3 linked regions of the Kluyveromyces lactis genome follow. The protein of the gene in region 1 purifies or fractionates together with the protein of each later gene. This does not show direct contact. Links are inferred from orthologs where the notes say so. Each region holds a gene or a part of one and is shown on either strand. Other genes may lie near its edges.

The links.
Region 2: the proteins of MED7 (region 1) and SRB8 purify together in Saccharomyces cerevisiae (affinity purification with mass spectrometry; 4 studies listed by BioGRID). This does not show direct contact. The link is inferred for Kluyveromyces lactis from reciprocal best matches to the Saccharomyces cerevisiae genes MED7 and SRB8.
Region 3: the proteins of MED7 (region 1) and SSN2 purify together in Saccharomyces cerevisiae (affinity purification with mass spectrometry; 4 studies listed by BioGRID). This does not show direct contact. The link is inferred for Kluyveromyces lactis from reciprocal best matches to the Saccharomyces cerevisiae genes MED7 and SSN2.

What each region holds. Positions count from the first base shown.
Region 1 is NC_006041.1:648,405-653,812, reverse strand, and holds MED7 (mediator complex subunit MED7), read left to right. Parts: upstream 1-2,915; coding exon 2,916-3,557; downstream 3,558-5,408. Other genes in the region: ATP11 (Atp11p), read left to right, coding at 1-336; prephenate dehydratase PHA2, read left to right, coding at 723-1,658; SCF ubiquitin ligase complex subunit HRT1, read right to left, coding at 2,007-2,339; PFK27 (6-phosphofructo-2-kinase), read left to right, coding at 4,929-5,408. UniProt on the Saccharomyces cerevisiae protein: Component of the Mediator complex, a coactivator involved in the regulated transcription of nearly all RNA polymerase II-dependent genes.
Region 2 is NC_006042.1:661,806-668,937, forward strand, and holds the start of SRB8 (Srb8p), read right to left. Parts: upstream 3,834-7,132; coding exon 1-3,833. Other genes in the region: putative ATP-dependent RNA helicase DBP6, read right to left, coding at 4,165-6,057; RSM19 (mitochondrial 37S ribosomal protein uS19m), read left to right, coding at 6,325-6,600; type 2C protein phosphatase PTC6, read right to left, coding at 6,896-7,132.
Region 3 is NC_006038.1:105,942-113,097, reverse strand, and holds SSN2 (Ssn2p), read left to right. Parts: upstream 1-2,714; coding exon 2,715-6,878; downstream 6,879-7,156. Other genes in the region: KLLA0_B01397g (FAD-binding oxidoreductase), read left to right, coding at 1-327; KLLA0_B01375g (putative hydrolase), read right to left, coding at 467-2,389; Smc5-Smc6 complex subunit NSE5, read right to left, coding at 6,899-7,156. UniProt on the Saccharomyces cerevisiae protein: Component of the SRB8-11 complex. The SRB8-11 complex is a regulatory module of the Mediator complex which is itself involved in regulation of basal and activated RNA polymerase II-dependent transcription.

The sequences.
Region 1 (5,408 bases):
TTTGTAGGACCTAAAACCGTCCACTGTATTATGACTACTCTAGCAGAGTATAAATTGCACAAAGAATTTGCAAGACCTCATACTACTCTACAGTTCCACTTGGATTTGGCCAAGGAAAAGAACATTGTATTGATGAACGGCCAAGTTGAATCTGATTCTAATGTTTCCCTACCAGAATCTCAACTATTGCTTTTGAACGTTCAAAGATTCTATGGTGCTATGGGACAAGACTCCGGGTTTGCCCAAAAGAGGGTCCAACTTTTGAAGGATTTTACCAACGGATCTCCAAACTTCAATGTTGATCTATTAGTTGCTCTTTCTCAAGTTATGGAGTAGTGGAAGATTCCTAATACATTTATATATATTTATATACATATATATATACATGTCGCTTGTATAAAGAAAACATTCCATCATACTCGATCTATGCTAACAGCATGCGGTTTTGAGTAGCAGCAGGCTGTGGTTCGAGGTTGGGCAGCATGCGTTGGAATGGCTTTCTTCTTAGTCACGTGTACTTCATCAAAATGAATTTCACCACTATGACTAAGTGTGGTCCAGAAGTGCTACGAGCATATGGATGCATCGATGACCCAACCTATGAGTAGAATCGATTGAATTCGTTCTGCTCAAACAGTACAAAGCCCCGACAGTAGTTGCACATTGTACACTGTTTGCTGGAAGTTGGAATATCTCCTTGTTTTACTTCTACTACATTTATAATGGCGAAAGTATTGTTCTTGGGCCCTGTGGGAACATATTCACATCAAGCAGCACTCCAACAATTTCCAAACGAGGAGCTAATACCGGTGACATCTATCCCTGCATGTTTCGAAAAGCTCATTTCAGACATAGATATGGACTACGGGGTAGTTCCTCTCGAAAACTCCACCAACGGTCAAGTTGTTTTCACGTACGATCTTTTCAGAGATTTTATGCAAGCAGATTTAAGTCCAAGTGTTGAGGTTGTTGGTGAACAATACGTCGACATTGCCCATTGCTTGATTTCACCAGTACCGCTCTCAGAAGAACAATTAAGAAAGGTTGATGTTATATATTCACATCCACAAGTTTGGGGCCAAGTAAAAGACTATCTCAGTGATCTTGAAACAAAATACGGTAAGACCGCCAAGATCGACTGCAGTTCGACTGCGGGGGCTGTGGAAAGATGCATAGCTGAATATGCCACTGATAGAAAAATAACTCTAGCAATTGGAAGCCGTGCGAGTGCATCACTAAATAAAGCTACGATTGTGGAAGGCGGTATCAATGATGTCAATGGAAATACGACAAGGTTCTTGATCTTGAAAAGGCGTGACGAATCTAGCGAAATTGGCAGCCAAGCTCTCCCACCTAAAGGCGATGAAATGAAAGTAAACTTTGTCACCTTCGTGATAAATCAAGATGATCCAGGTTCCTTAATAGATGTATTAAATGTCTTGAGGGAGTATAAGTTGAATATGTGCTCAATCAGTTCGAGACCATTCCATAATCAAGTGCAATCAGAAAGAAAATGGCAATATTGCTTCTTTATTGAGTTTTATGGCAATTACGGTACTGATTACGAACTTCTGGCGAAAAGGTTTGACGAAAACTGCGCAAAATGGATTCACTGGGGTAAATTCTACCGAAACGCACTGTATTACCAAATCCCATGATATATGCATTATGTTTAGAAACAAAATGCAAATACTGATCTTAAAAACGAAGCAATCGAAGAGGAATGTACGCATCCTAGTTGTATTCATGGAACAACGCTGTCCTGTCTATTGTTTTGGGACCGATCGAACCTGTCGATAATTCCATTAGAAGCTCGTTACGTAACTATATATACACAGAAGCCAGATTATCTAAGCTTCTTCCCAATGGTAGATATTAAATCCACACTATCCGCTTGGTATTAAATCATTGGAAATCTAAATTGAGTAACATTTTTTGCGGTTCGAACAGTCCAATAGCGATATTAAATTTCGATAATGCATCTTTGTAGGCTTAACACTCTATCTTCACTTGCCACACCGAGCCAATTTCCAAGGTTTATTATCCAACGGACAAACATTTCTGCTCTTGATCCATTGGGTAATACAATGTAGGTGGAATGCGTGGTTGCACTCACCCCAGGCGGCTACACATTCATGCTCCGAGTTGAAAGTTGCTTCCTGCTGACAATTTACACATGGTTCCATAATATGATTTCTGCAAATGGCACAATTATCAACGTCAATATCCCATGACCAAAAAGCTACCGCTGTCCATTTCGTTATCTCAAAATTGGGCTTTGACTCAGTAGCACCCTCTGTCCCGCTCTGTGCCTCTATTGGTCCCAAATCCGTGGCCATCTCCTAACGATCAGCTACTATTGGTAAATATAAATCCTTCCTTCTTTAAAACAGATTACAAACAGACGTTCTAAGTCCCAGGTCTAACTGTCGTTCAATCCTTGGAAACGCGGGTGTGAAAACCTTTTTTTAAACTATTAATGATCGAATAGAGTAGTCTTATGAATGACAAAAGATATACCCTGTGGACTATAATGGGATCTATGGACTTTCGTAACTGCCCAAACGTTCAGAAACATTAGAATTCATGTTGAAAGAGAGACAAGAGTGATATTCATATCACGTGAATACAAACATTTGTTACCCGGATGTGAAATTGTACATGAAATGGAAATCCAACTTATAGTAACCAGCACAAACAGAAACAAGTGATAAATCAGTGAACACAGGAAAGCGTGTTGGCGATATCAGACCTGTGTTAGACCTCCGTGGCCATAATCTGTCCAGATTCAAGATAAACTGGAACCTCGACCGTCCTTTAAAGTATTGAAATCCCTCTCAATAAAAGATTTTTTTGAAAGTGATTGTGAAAGTGAGAGACAATACTGCCAGTCAGAAGCTAAAATATAAAGGACCATGAGTGACAAGAACGAAGTATCATCATTGTATCCTCCACCACCACCGTTCATTCAATTTTTCACCGAAGAGAACTCAAAACTATTTAGAGAATGTGGCAAAGATGAAGAAAAACTAGCGAAATGTACAACAAAACAGAGGGAGCAGTTGAAATATTTTGTGAAGCCAGAACTACCCAGGGATGGTTCATACAGAGCATTTGGTAATGTATGGAAAATTAAGGATGAACTACCGGAGTTATCACAGATGGGAATTGAACAATTATATAGGAAACGGGAATCTGTCACGGAATTGGAAAACGGGACCACAACAGAAGTTGAACCTAGTCCTCAAGATTCGCAAAGTGGGACAAATTACGAGAACAAGATCCAAGAGTCGAAAAAACTAATGAAATCACTATTACTAAATTTCCTAGAGCTTATAGGAATATTGGGAGTGGATTCAAGTAGATATGAGAAAAAACTTGACGAGATAAGGGTGATAGCCATCAATATTCACCATCTTCTTAACGAATATAGACCGCACCAAAGTCGTGAATCGCTAATCATGTTATTTGAAGAACAATTGGAACATAAACGCAAGGAAATGGAACACATCAATAAAGTCTGTGATGAAGTGGAATCCAAGCTGGCTCAACTGTGATATATATCCCAGCATACCAGTTGTTAAGGCGATCTCTAAAAACGAAGACTTTGGTATCAAGATGTTTAATTAAACTTTCATAAGTTCGGCTGCTTGAGAGATTTAATTCGAAATTTAGCCGCCGAATAAGGTATACAGAATAAGAAAATCAGCAAACTTTCTCCCAATGCAAGCAAAGGGGGAAGACAAATTTAATAGCAAGATGTCGGACGAAGCTAATGCTCATTATTTCTAAAAGTCCTAATACCAACTCTCTGACGCTGATTATGTAACGAAGACCTAGTAAGTTTAAAATACAAGTCACGTGCTCTACATGACTCGCGAAGTCCTTTTTCTTTTGTCTTCCCAGAATGGGGTAGAATTGCCGATTTCTCTTCGATTTCAGGTATGGCGGATCGGAGAAACTAATTCCACAGGAAGAAATCCTACAATTCCCTTACACCACACTACGCATTATAAAAAAGACCCAAAAAAAGAATTAGCGATCGGAATAACTCGTGCAGAGAGTGTAGGGCCTAAACGGGCAAAGAGGAGAACAAATGACCAGGCATGAAAAAGAGACCAAAGAGAGACAGAAGAGGGGAACGGCGGGCAGAGGGCAAATAGAAAAAACCGCCAGGCAGATTATCCGAAAGACACACAACAGAATAGCGCGCGAAACTGTCGTCAGTACCTCTCTCACACCGGTTTCCTCGAGAGGAAACCGTTACACCGATTAAATCGGAGCTGTAACGGGCAGCTGGGTTAGTTTACCGTAATAAACGTGACAGATCCCAGGACTGATCCATTTTATTGTCAATATGTCAGCCTTCTTTTCGGCAACATGCTCTCTTTTTTAAAGCCTAACAGGAATTGAATTGCCAAAGTAAGCTATAATTCCTGTAATGGAGGAGAGCGCACCGCGTGGTGCCTGACTTGGGCTAGTATAGCAATGCGTGAATAGTTTACACCTATATAATATATATAGTGAGGGACAAACCAAGGGTTGACACACTGAACTGTTACCTGGGGGCATCTTTCCTACTTGTAACCAAAGGGACAAACATAACCTGACAACGTGTCGTCACAATTCGGGTATACTATCGTTTTCTCTACCCTTTCTGTCTCTAGCATTTCGCTCTGCAATCTACGCTATCTTCGCTTCTTTTTTTTTTCTTCTTTCTTTTCGATTTCAAGAATATCTGTTGAATCTTTTCTTTTGAGAGTGTTTCGGATCAACTTATGCCAGTTTTCGATACACATTTAAGCTCTAGTGTTTTTCAGATCGACCACGTAAAGAATTAACCCGTTAAAAGTTGAAAGGTGAAGAAGCACAGAAGCAAACAGCAAGCTCGCAAGCACAATTCGACGAGACATACACACCAATCAAGGATGTCGCGACCCAACGAAAATCTAAGGCCCGAGTTATTAAGAAGTCTAGAGTCGAGGAAACACTTGAACTCGAGGACGGTTTCTACCAATACTTCCACGAATTCTTTATTTTCACTACATGGCTCAAGCTCATCGTCAATTTATCCGACGATTTCACATACAGAAACAGAGATAGATGTGAGTAACCATACAGATGGGTACTTTGCCGGATTACAAGGCTCATCGTCGGCGAACCATGCTGCTAACAATTCTTATTTGTCTCAGGGAAGTTCGTTGACTATACAGTTTGGGAACAAGAGGCAGAATTTAAACCATAAATTTTGCGTGATTCTCATCGGTTTACCAGCCACTGGAAAGTCTACCATATCCAGACATTTGATCAATTTCCTTCACTCGTCTCGTAGTACAGCGCATCTTCGATGCTCTATCTTCAATGCCGGTAACGTGAGACGTAAGTTGAGCACCCGCCGTCAGGTCTCG
Region 2 (7,132 bases), on another chromosome or scaffold:
TGAGATGACTTCTTATTGAAGACGAAGTATTTTAAAGCTGAGTTCGTTTTGGCCTGTTTATCACATATACCTAAACGAATTAGACTTGGCTCGTCTTTATCAAGGAATTCATCTTCAGTACCTTCAGAATCTAAGAAAGACGAAATCGCGAATTTCGGCAATTGATTCAAAACGCTTGGCATTTTTATTGAGTGCAGAGCCTGATCCTTTGTTTCGTTTAAAATATAAGACTTTAGAGAAGTTAGGAGATCATAAAGTAGTAGCTTCAACTTCAAGTCTTTACCGGTGTTATGGAACAAAGTATAGAAATTGTCAACCATATAGTGATCACGGAGCTCAATTGATTCAAAACAATGTCTCAATATGAACTTCTCATGAATGATAACGATCTTTAATAGCTCGTTCAAGTTTTCGTCGTATTTCTTTAATGTATCGTTAGGCATTTTTGCAAATGTAGCAATAGTATTTTTGAACAGTTCCAAAACCTCTGAATCCATCCCCAGGCTTGACATATTTACCAGATGCCTGCTTAGTACAATTTCTGTATCCATCATTATATGCAAGAAGACTAACGCAGATTTTTCTGTCTCCAAAACTCTTGCTAAAAATTGTCTTTCAATAACTGTCAAAAGGGTCGACACTTGTTTTTTGTCTGAGATATTACTGAATATTTTTGGTAATAATGAGTTGTAACCAATTGCGCCGACGATGCTGGAGAAAAAGTCCGATAGATCTTCAGCATTAGAGTTTTTTACATTGAATTCGGTGAGTATCTGGAACAACCAAGTATTGGTGAAGTTCAAATACCGATATAGATCAATGGTGTTGTCTATTGCTTCATTTTCGATATTCATTCCATATATCAACATATCTCTAATGATAGACATGTTTTTCTCTTCTCTTAAAATGTGGCTGACAACTTGAGCAGATTTTTCACTCAAATTTGAATTTGGACCATATTCCACTAGCATTCTCACTAAAGTGTCCCTGAATGTAGGTCGACTGAAAAGTTGAAGAGTGATTTGTTTGAAATTCCTCTTGACAAAGGCATTCTTTTCATTTTCGAAATTTAGACCATAATTAAAGCTTACTTGTGACACTAATTCACATAATAAATCAAAATGTGATGTCTTCTGAATTACCTCAAAACTTAGTAATTTTAATGAAATAAGTTTTAATAATTCATGAACAGTGAAGTCTCCTCTTTTCACAAAAATTGACAAAAACTTATTATACTCTGAGGCGTGTGAGGCCTTGCATAGTAACAAGAGTTTTCTACAATTGGATTCATCTTCGGGATTATGAAGAACCTTTTTAATATTTTGCTGGATCACACTAGGAAAGTTCTGCTCTTCAAACTTCGTATTCTTATTACCGGTTATTTCCAGGTATAACGACACCGTTTCGTTTGGCATTTTAGTAAAGTGATCTTTCCGGTGTCTCTCTAACTCGAAAACTTCAGCAATTTGATTCTGCAACGACGAGTCCATTTCAATCATGTTTGCACAATTCTTAACGAAAAACTTCCAAAAACTCTTAAAATTTATCAATTCAAAAGCTGCTTTGTCTTTTATCCGTAGATCCCTCATATAACTGTGTAATAATGTCTTCATAAATAAAATATGATCATTGATAAGTAAAAGAAAAGCTTTGTCCAAATAAAGCAAAATGTCAGTGAATACTTCTAAGTTTTCAAGGTCATCAATTAATTGATGATAAACAATATACTCAGCCCACCCAAAAAAGTGATGTAACTCTCCTAGATTGATACAAAAAAGTTGGAATGTTTTGATGATCTTATGATTATTGACCTTCTGAAGTTCCCCTTGATTAAAACAGATTTGAGATAAATACCATTCGGAGCACATAATCCGTATGCTTCCTGGATACTCCTCAAGCCTTTCAAAATCACCACTAAGAAGTTTAGGTTTAAGGCTTTCAAAGATCGACACTAACTTGTCAAAATTGTACTTCTCATAAAAGTGAGGAGCGTACTCCATAACATTCTTTAACACCATGTTATATTGCGACTTCATAATAGGTGATATCTTTAAATTGATAAGGAGTTTACAGTGGAAATTTTTATTCTCGGATTCTGGCAAATAGAGTACACCAGAACTTATCAAACGTCTGATGTATGTTGGGACTTTAATTATTCCATAACCAATAAAGACATTCAAAAGTTGATGCAACTTCGGAAGCCATACGATTTTCTGCAATTCTAACTTTGATAATTTAGAAAAATGGAAAATAAGACTCCATATAACATCCTCAATGCTGTATTCTTGGAATGATTCTTGAGAATTGATTTTTAAAACTAATATTTTCGCAACTAAATGACAACTGTCATATCGATGCTTACGTGAAGGATTGATTGCCCATAGAATAATTTCAATGACCTGTTCCATTTTCGTAATTTTTTGGTCAATAAATAAGCTCCACTCTGAGCCTGAAAGGCCACTATCTAATACACCGAGTAATTCTGGGCTCACATTCTTGAGATTCAAAATATTTCCTGAGAAAACATTGTCTAAGGTAAGTTCAGTGCTGAAAGGAGAGGTTTCTCGAGAAGGTTCCACATCAAGGGATCCCAACCGTAACGATTCATTCCTATATGATATCAATTTCAATTTCTTTTTTAACTTTGGGGTCTCTTCATCAGAGACATTCTGAAGTAATATTTGATACAAGTAATTCTTATAGATGTTCCAATTTTGCTTTGGCATGATGAACGCTTCTAAGGATTGAGTATGGAAAATATGGGAAATAAACTGCCGCAACCGTAATAAAACAGACTCTTTGAGTTTTGAATTTCTCTGGACATCATTTATGATATACTTCGAGTCATTAATCATACACTTGGACTCAGATATGATGTGGTACTTTCGTAATAGAATTTCTGAAAGCTTTATTATCAAAAACGATGATTCTATTTCTGTATCTTCTTCTGTTGTCCCAAGAATTCCACTCCAGAAGATAGAAAGGATATGCAATGTCATAGGATAGAATTCGAAGCTCTCTATTTTACTTAAAAAATCTACCAGCCATTGATGCAAAGTAGATCTGTTTAATAGTTCCATTTCATAACAGTTACCTAGAATCTTCAAATAATGAGCGATGCGTAGCTTCCAATATTTCAACTGCCCCGGATCATTGTAATATTTACTGACTTCAAAAACCAATTTCTCAAGGATAAGGACCATATTATCGGTCCAGTCTTTGTACAAAGTACTAAGAAGCTCTTCATGGGTGGTTTCTCCTTTGGCTTTTGAGATCATTCCTTTCCATTCAATAGCATAGCAACTTTTGATTAGCCATATGACACGATATATTGGAACGAATTGTGTGTAGCATTGTTCCAAAATGTGCCTTTTCCTAAATCCATGAGGAACAGATTTAGTTAATTTCCGCAATGATGTGTTCGATGAGCTTAATTCCTGAAGCCACAGATTCCTCTTTTGATCTGTAAGCGTGACTCTGTTAGGCAAATGAAAATCTTGACCGGACCATTTAGTGAACCTTGTACTGTCTTCTATGTCCAGTGTACTTATCCTATTAATTTCTTGTTCTCGTATCTCAATAATCTTGGATAATTCATCTCCTAACAATGAGGAAACTTTGGGAAGTGATCCTTGTAAAGCTGAACGAGCAGAAATGGTTTCAAAGTTTACCCTAGAAGCAGTATAGTAGCCTTTTGCCACGAACTCTTTAAGTATCTTATCCTCCTCTTTGGTGTGAATCCACGGATCAAAATCAGGATAGATTTGTGGGTTGGAGTCGGTGAGCGGATGTAATTCCTCCGGAGGAGTTAGTAAATATTTTGACGGTGACATCAGAAGTATCTAGCGGTTATTCTCTGACTACTTATATGTGTTAACAAGCACTAGTTAAGACAGTTTAACCTGCCTAAGGTACTTTGAAGGTTTATAGTGTTTCAGTGATTCTGAACGATCAATCACATATCAATTTAAGGTAAAGAAAGTTCTAAAGTGGAGGAAAAACACTGCTCGAACAATAAATAACATGTCACATGATCAACTCATCAGAAGAGGCAAAATAGATAGTAAGTATAAGATCATTAGTGCCTTCTCAAATATCACTTAGACGAGCCCCAAGAATGGGGTACAGTTACTATGATCTTTTTACTTATTTAGTGATAATATGCTATTTACTGTCTGCTTCTTTGCTGGTTTGGAGTTGTTTGATACAACCCTTGTACGTATCCTTCAAAGTGTCTTCAATAGAGAATAATTCAGACAACTTTTCTTCGTCAAGGTAAGCAGATGGTTGATAACCATCAATGTCACGACTGAGGTCAGTGTCAATATGTTGTGACCAGAATTTCTGTTCACCCTTACCAACTAGAAGGTTAATTGCTATACCCTCAGTATTAGCCCTTGCAGTTCTACCACAACGATGAACATATTGTTGAGAGGAGATCGGTAGATCATAGTTTATCACATGAGTAATTTCATTTATATCGATACCTCTAGCCATTATGTCCGTTGAAATTAAAACTGATTTCTTTTGTTCTGAGGATGCAAATTCCTGTATTAGTTTTCTGCTACTACCCTTCGAGATGTTCGAATGAATTGATGAAAGGAACATATTATACTCATCTTCAATTATTCCTGATCCTAACATGGCATGTAATAAGCTTTCTAATCTGATCGAAGCTTCGTTACTCTTCACAAACACTAATATTTTAGCGTTTCTCGAAGCACTGCTCTTGATGTCGTGTATTATTCTTAGTAAGAGTAGTGGCTTGAACAGACTCTTAGCAGTAGGAATATTGACATTGAGTTCTTGCAATTTCTTAGGTATTGAATATAATTTAACAGAATCTGTGAGGAAGATCTTGGGGTTGTGGAGATACAAATTGTACAACTTTTCTGCATTCGTAGTCAAAGTAGCAGAAAAGACCATTTTGATTACGTTTCCTGGACGTTTATCCTGCTTATCGTTTGTCAAATGGTGGAAAAGCACTTGGTTCCAATTTTGGAATGACTGATTTAATAGTCGGTCTGCTTCATCAAGGACTAAGAACTTCAAAGTTTTTAGGTCAAATGATTCCATCTGCAAGTGATCGACCAGTCTGCCCGGAGTGATGATTAGAATGTCTGGAGAGTTATACAAAAATTTGTTGTGTTCTTCTTTCAAGGAGTTCTCGAGTTTCGACATTGATACATTGAGACTGGTCCCTTGACTTAGTTTAGAGAGACAATCGTAGACTTGATGAATTAAAATTTTAGTAGGAACCAAAATTATTGCCCTAACTTTATTCACTGTTCTAGATCTCAAAATTTGAACCAAAGGGACAGAATATGCTAAGGTCTTACCGGAACCAGTTGATGCGTTTACTAATATATCACCAACTCGTCTTGTGAAAAGTTTTCTGTTTGCTTTAAAAGATGAGTTTAGAAGCGGGAGCACTTTATCGAATAGAATGGTCTGAATAGGGAACGTTTCAGATGAGAAATTGGAGGTAATATTTTTAAGCAGACGTGCATCTAATTCACCTTCGTAGCTATCGAATTGTTTAACCATTTTACTATCGTAATGAATTTTGGTTGCTGCATCCCACGCAGTGGATTTATATGTAGACGGATCTAGAAGCTTCAAGGCTTCATTGGTCACTTTGGCCGGTTGAGGAATTGGGGTAAGACTGTGAACATCTTTCATGGATACGTCCTCATCGTGTACATCGTTGTCACTACTGACCTTGTCTGAAGCGCTCAACGCACCTTGCAGGGAAAGAGTCTGTTGAAATCTATTTAATACGGAACTGTGCTTTGCATCAACTGATTGCTGAGAAGTTTCTGTAGGCGCAACAGATGCAACCTTGTTTTCATCTTGCTCACTAATTGTATCGGAATCATCCTCACTGCTGGAAGCATCATCCTCACTGCTGGAAGCATCGTCCTCACCAGAGCCTTCATCATCAGTTTCCGCATCTCTTTTCCTCTTTTGGGGCACAGTGGGTTCTTTTATTTGTGTGACTTCAGCTGTTAGTACATTTTCAGTCACCTTAGTAGGATCAAACCTTGCAGCAAACATGTTATTGACTGGATGCTATCGTTATGCTGTCGCTATGCTGTTACTGACCTTCTAAATTCCTGAAGCTCATCGCATCATATTACATCTCATCGCCATTCGTCTATTATTTTATTTCAGAACGGAATTCATAAAAAATTTCAATCTGTAAAACTTGAAATAACGACAAGATATAATAGAGTTAAGTCACTACCATGATATCAGTCAGCCAAAGGTTCCAGCAGTTAGACAAATATCTCGCGTCTACGATAACACTCATAACGTCATAAAATGTTCCCGTCATTGAGATTACTATCACGTTCTGTATGGAAAGGTCCAAATATAGTCCCATTACCAATAAAAGAAGCATTGGCCAAAGGTACGCCCATTAGAACAAATGCCAGATCTGCCACCATATTACCTCAATTTGTCGGACTGAAATTCCAAGTGCATAATGGTAAGGAGTATGTCGCGTTTGAAGTGACAGAAGATATGGTAGGAAGTAAGCTAGGAGAATTCGTACCAACAAGAAAGAGATTCAGTTATACTCAAACTAAGAACAAATGATTTGACATTTATGAAAAGCACAAAGTTAGTCAGACAGCAGCATGTATATAAAATCACACCTGGAAGTTCATGTACCACCGTGTACTCCATACGTAACTGTATCTATTACTAAGAAATGATTTATTGAACAAGTGCTCTCGATTAATTGGGAGTTAATGGTGTTTCTCATTGTTAAATAGATGCAAATGTTAATCATAACGAGTACTATATATAATAATTGAAGTAAAATAGAATATACACTCTTTACTTGAGGTTTCTTTTGAATTTAATTTATGATTAAGTTTGTGGACTTTTTTCAACCACTAGATCTTTCTCCACCGGATACACCACTTAGTAGCTTTTCCTCTCTAATCGCACCAGTGCGATCAATGACAGGCCAATTTCCCCAGTTCGGTAACCGCAGAATTACGCAAGTAGCATTATCAGAATGTTTAGAGCTAATAGCCATAACATATTGTAAAACTTCCTGAGCACAGAAGTGTGGAGAAGCAGTTTTCAAACCTCTATTGTTCACTGTGGAGGTGATGAGATC
Region 3 (7,156 bases), on another chromosome or scaffold:
AAAATCACAGCAACTTACCCTCTAACTCATATGACCTTGGGTCATGTTGGTGACGGGAATATCCACTATGATATTTTCTATGAACCGGATCAGTTTGAAATTTGCAAACAGCTGGTAGCTGAAATCAATGCTGTTACTCTTAAAAATGAAGGTACGTGTTCTGGGGAGCATGGTATTGGAACTGGTAAAAGAAAGTTTTTGGAGGATGAATTAGGATCAGATACTGTCGATCTAATGCGGAAAGTAAAGTTAGCTATAGATCCAAAGAGACTGTTGAATCCAGATAAAGTACTCAAGATCGATCCCTTAGATCCTAGTAACGAATGAAACCACCAACCACAAAAAGGAAAAGATACCAGAGGTGTGAAGCCTCGTATCCTCTGAGAACGCGATCTATAGACTACTAATTTATTTTATTTATATACAGTTGAACTTTTAATGATATTATTATTACTATAGTCATCATTCATTCTATCATTGCCTTCGATCCAAAGTGTTCATCGGCAATATGATTGACAACTATCCAACCGAATGAATTAACAAACCTGCGACGAACAATGATGTTATTATGGGAATCAGGCTGTAGCTCAACGATGACCTTTCTCCAGTCCATTGTCTCCTGCCAGTACCTTGCTATTCGTTCTTCTTTCATATGGATCGAGTAATTGGGATATATTATCTTTTTCACAAGCTTCTTATGTTTGTAGTGTTTATCTGGTAATTCTTCCGGGGTATAAACCTTGTCATGAATAATTCTGTCCGTTCTACTGGAGGGATCCACTAGGTACGACATTCCTGGCAGCGGTGCCGATATTGTACTTGCAGCAGCTTGCAATGTATTTGCCTTTTTTGGAGGTTTGAAAGTAGTTGGAGAGTCAGAATTATTGTTCGAATCACTACTGGCAGATTCTACCGAACTGGTAGTTTGAGTCCGCACATACGGTTTATATTTTTCCTTTTTAATGAGTGACTGGGGCAGCAACCATTGGAGAATAGACTTATTGTCCGAAGAGCTCTCTGGAATTTCCCCCAAAGATGACCCTTTCTGTTCTTCAACTCCCTCCTCAGATTGGGCATTGTTTTCGCTCCTCACCTGTTGCACATCACTTAAACCTCTCCAATCAAGATATAGTAAAGCAGCCGTCCTTAGAGGCACTATACCATCAAATGCGACATTAGCATACACGGTTCTACACTTGAATCGTTGGAAAACTTCTAACGCCGGATGTTTAGGTAAAAGCTCTAATATGGGTTTAGATTTGATTCTATCATGTGATCCATCATTATTTACAATACCTTTTGATGGCAGAAAATAGCTGCGCTTCAATGTGAGATCCCTTCCAGTCTGTCCCAAAGCGCCAATGTCCAGCACGATAGATATGTATTTGGGCAAATCTCCAATGACTCCGAGGAATGGGCTCGCCGCCGCCACAAAATTGACGGGTGTCAAGCCTGTGGTCTTGTCAAATATGTCTGGTCGTTCGACAGAGATATAGTGAATGGCCATAGCTTGCACGGGTCCTCCCAAAGAGTGACCTACAAATGAGATTCTTGTTAAGGTGAATTGCTGTTGAAGTTTATCGATGGTATCGATTATATATTCTGCCAACTTGAATCCTAGATGCCGTATACCTTTATGAGACTTCCCGACGTTTCCAGGATACCCTCTTATTACAAGATTGCCATTATTATCATCTGGCAAAAAGTTCGACGCTCGTTCAATGGTGTCTTTTAAGCAAAGCATATCTCCGCCAATAGAAGAGAAGATGCCATGTGTAATAATTACGAGATGAACTGGCTTATCTGGAAATGGCGGAGGTAAATTCCACAACTGTTCAGTGTCAAGTTTGGAAATTTTCAACCCATCAGTCTGCTGAACTTCTATATTCTTGTCTTTCTGGGAATGTTTAGCAGTTTTGTATGTTGTAGCTAGCGTGAAGACGAATGGAAGCCTTACAATGGTAACGACAGTGAACTGGGCAATAAGGTCAATCTTCCAAGCATAACAAGAAGTACCGTCAACTCGAGCATTAGAATTGAGATAAAGTTTCGCTTTGAAATTCTCATCAGGCTTGAGGTCACTCATGAACTCAATTCCATCTCCTATGAATTGCTTTCTCTCGTCATAATTGTTCGGCGTTATTTCAACATAAATTGAGTATGGTCCAGTTATCCATAACGGCCTCAAAAGCGCGCTCTCCTGGTTTTTGAATTCGAGATAGAGAGTATCGTCAGTACACTCAATTCCGTCAGATAGTAGCTTATTTTTATCTACAATTATCTTATAGCGATTGACATCCCCGATACCAAGTGACCCTGTTTCCCTTAAAAGCAGAATACCACTATCTGATGACTCAGTGTCGTTCTCTTCAGTCAGTTTTATTGCCATCTTGGCATACGCCAACCACTGTTAGCAGAAGTACAGGTTATACTGCGTTTCCAATTGAGAGTGCGCCGCTAATCACGGGGGGTGCGTTTAGCTTTATGCTTTGGTACCTGTCATTCATTGTTTTGTATTGGCAATCTTTTTTGTTTTTGTTTTATAATGATCAAGCGATTCATTATTATAAGTAGTGATAACTCGAGATAAAATCGTATAATTTTAAAAGAAGGTAACTAGACAGCATCTCTTAACAAGTACGGATTTTTGAAGTACCGTTGCATCCTAATCAGTCTGACTATCCAGCTTACTTTTCATCAGAGCAACGGAAACCATGAAAAAGGAGGTTGGGGACGCATGTCGATTGGAGGACATCGTTACCAATTTATACAGGTTAGAAACTGTCAAACAAATAAACTATCACCAATATGTACCTAGCAAGGCAGATAATCAATGGTCAATTCAAGCAGAGTTGTTCCTAAGGAGGAAAAACCCCAAAGTACTTGCAGCTCTTTTTTCCAGGGAGTTATGGTGTTTTAGTATTAACGATGATCCATTACCAGAGTTAAACCTTGAGCTGAATAACGAATCGGAGTCACCCCAGCCAGAGCGGAAGGGTCACTTCACCCCAGAATTCTCAAAACCTCACTTGCCTACCCCATATGCCATCTTTATGAAGGCTCTCAGGCGTATGATATATGTCAATTTGACCCTATCCTCCAATGAAACCATCGTGCCCTTTGGAAACTCATGCATATTTCAGGAATCATATACCTTTTCGACCAAAATCTTACACTTTGATCCACATCTATTTGAAAATGGAGATTTGACTGTTGCAATTTGTTCCAAGGATTTGGGTTTATCGAAGTTGAATGCAGAGAGCCTCAAACATGAAGTGGCTGTGTATTTGGCTCCATCTGGGATCAGAGTGTATTTACCATCCACAGATTTAAAGAAATGTTATGTATCACCACCCAAAAACGCTCAAATGTTTCTCAAGACACTATTTGTCTCCCATGGAATAAATTTAATCGATGTCGACGGTTTGAAATGGGTAAAGCTTATTCCAAATGCTAACCATTTGAATGGCTTCACTCCAACAATATCACATTATCTTGACGAACCAAAAGGAAATAATTTCGTTATCTGGCCGGCATGTCTCTGTTTTGTACAAACAGCATCTGACGTTCAAACTCCTCAATATACTGCATTTTCAAGATCCCCGCAGCTTGAGTTAGATGATTGTTTCGATATGATAGATGGATTTATACAGTTAAAACTCACTTCGGCCTACAGAACGCCTGGAACATCTGCAGGGATGGGAACTGTAACCGGACATAACCCATTAAGTACGGGAGGAATATTTACTGATCAGTTTCAAGGGTTTAATAAGCATTCGGCCAATAACAGCAATAACGTATCTTCAACGGGAGAGAATGGTAAGTTTTCTCCGGAATACTCTAATGATCCAAACGTAACACCTCTGCGAGATAATAAAACTAGTAGACAGAATTTCCCCACAGAGAGTTACAGCAGTAATGGTTTCATTACAACTCCAATAATAAATGAGAATATCACTCCAACCGTTGATGATATTATAACAGAAACTCCTTCCGTAAAACCTCAGAACGATCTTTGGAATGAGAAAAAGGATGTAATAAATAGTACATCCAATATCAACTCAAAGGACGCATCAGTAGGTAGTTCTGAGCGTAAAGTAGAACTGGAAACCGCTTTTGAATCTCCCGCTCAGAATATTTCGATAGAGGAACACGAGCATGTAGAATTCGACAAAGATCTTTTTGGTGAAGATAGCGACGAAGATGTCAGTACGCGAAATAAGAACGAAGAACTGGTATCTGTAAAAGAGATTACTGACGAAATGTTTGATCTAGCCGAAGATGACGATGAGGCTGACGGATCAACTAGTAACTCGTTAAAGTTTGATCGTCCCGACACCATCGAGTCTATTGATACTGACGAAAAGAAGACAAGAACAAAGCGTACCTATTTGGACATACCAGTGGATGTCATTACTATAGAAAAGACACCTACATTATACGAAGATCCAGGAGCACCTTTGCCTATTGAAACCCCAAAAGACAGAAAGAAAAGTATATTCGCACCACTCAATTTCAACCCCATCTTTGAAAGTAATGTGGATAACAAGTACAAGAATGGAGGTAAGTTTTCTGTTAACTCGAACACCAATGACGAACCAATACAATTTGGGATAAGTACAAGTAATATATCAAGCTCAGAAGATGATGATAGCGATTTTTCTCCTGCTGATTTCAACAATAATGGACCATCTGCAGGAAAGGGCTTATCATATGATCCAAGAGACAATGATATACCAATGATCGAGTCATCAACATACGAACCTATTGCAAAGGACTCTCTTCCCGAATTGATAAACCCACCATCTTCTTCCAAAGATGATTCTGTGGCATCTTATAATACGATCGGAACTCTAATGGAAAAACCTGTTAAGTCCAACTTAGACGCAATATGGAAGCCCGCCTTAAGTAAATCAGAAAGAGCTGATCTACCAAACCAGACAATTAATGGGGTCATAAACGACTGCAATAACAGCTCAAACTCAAATCCCACAACTTACTTTGAGAATACGCCTTCTCTCGGACCGGATACTCTATATGATAATTCAAAACCAAGAAGTTCATCAGCTAACTTTCTTTCCACGGTTGAAATCGACCCCAAAAGCGAACAAACTATTCAAACCGCAGAGCAAGAACAATCTGAATCATCTAGAATTCTCCCCTACCTTTTGAGACACATGCCTTTGTTCTCGTTGCCTGACGTGTTCCTTTGTCAGAATCCATCTTTGCCGCCCGGAAAAGACTTCGAGGATATTCTAGAGATTTTGACAGATCAGATAGTCTTCAATAATGATATGTTTTCTGATGATAGGGCAACAGAATCTCAGTTTAAAGGGATCAAGGATTGCTCCGTTGGCACCATCAGCGATACCATGAACCAGCTTTTTGGGAATTTTTCAAAGCTTCACGGAAACGAAATAATAGAGGAAGTCTTCTATTTGCCTGAACCATCAGTGTTTGTGAAGAAATCTGAAGATACAATTAAAATAAAAAGCTCATCGTGTTATTTCACGGAATATTTAAATCTGAAACCCAACCGTGGGGTAAAAAATTTCAGGGCCCTAGTGCTAACCACTGAGGCAAAAAATGATTGCATGTCTTTCGTATCACAAATGTCTCAGACATATTCGAATCATGAGTTAGGGTTCTGTGAACTGACTAAGTTGACTAATGACGATAATAAAGGGTTAATATACTTAAAAAATTTTAACCAAGACACCTTACTACTTCTTTCCGCACAGATTGTATCTTTCTGTTCAACAGCACTCTCAAATATTAAGAACATTCCTTTACTCATCTTTCTCCCCATCAACAAACTTTCATTAACAGAATGTATATCAATGATCCTCAAGTTTCATGTAATCAGGAAGGAGTTCAAATCTAAGTTACCAAAGGCAGATATTTTGTTGAGGCTCGTGAATATAGATTTCCTCAAAAATCCACTTACACCTATCACTGCGTACACTTCATTGTGTATGGCAATCTATAATAGTCTACCACCAAAAAGTACTAAGGTAACGTCCCTAACAAATGATTTACCCAAACAAATTGAGTTCCGGACACTGAAGAATGCCTCCTTATCTATCCATTACGATAACTACATCCATTTGGCATACTTGAGAAGTATTGATCGTGAGTGGCTGTGTGCTGCCTGGTCAGACACCAAAGGCGTCGAAAGCTTCGTGAAAACCTGGTATGTCGGTAACTCCAGAACTCGTTTCGAACAAGTGTGCAATGACATCTGGAAAATAACCCTACAATTGGCGTCTAAGAATTTTGGAAATGTTTGCTTGGTGTTGACAAGACTCGATAGTGTCCTTCCTGATGACGAATTGATCCATTGGAGACGTCTATCAGTCGCCACAAAAGATCTCCATCTTGCTGTGGTCTGTGTCGGAGATAACACGAAATTAACATTATTCGATGAGGACAAAACATACCCAACATTTAAAAACTTGTTCAGAACGAAATCGAATCCGCAGACAGGAATATCAAACAGTATAGACGATCTTGAGATAATTAACATTGATGAGGAAGTCCATGGACTAATATTCAGTAACCCGTTGCAGCTAGCAAACTCCCAGCATAGATGCGCCATCAAAAGTGGAGCATTGATTCGTTTTGCAAAAAGCGAAGGCGATAACTTCATTGATAAATTTGAGGTAAATCTTTTGAACTGCCCTCATGCAGACAGTTCAACACTTTTGAAGGAAATCTTAAAACAATACAGAAACTTGGCAGGTTTGAATCCATGGTTCGGAGTATCCTATGGAAAAGATAATTTCATTCCGTGGCATGTCGTTGCAGTAAAAAATGTCATGAACTCTATTGTACATGTTAAGAGCTCATTCGAAAAGGAGACCCATATTATTGATTAGTTTGAATAGATAAAGTAATATTAATAGGTCTGCTCGAACAAGGGTATCACGTCTTTCACATCCATGAAAGAGTTCGGAGACTTCGCAAATGTGGTCAAAACTCTCAGAAGTTCTTCAAAGTTCCCTTGTGGATGAGTAGTTATGATTAACCTAGTCAATATAATTATGCAAAAATCCATCTGTATTCTCCGCTTCGAAATTCGAGAACGGTTGAATGCCGCAGACCTGTCTATGGCTCTGAGCAATTTCATTAATTCTGAAGTCACTTCTTCAAAATT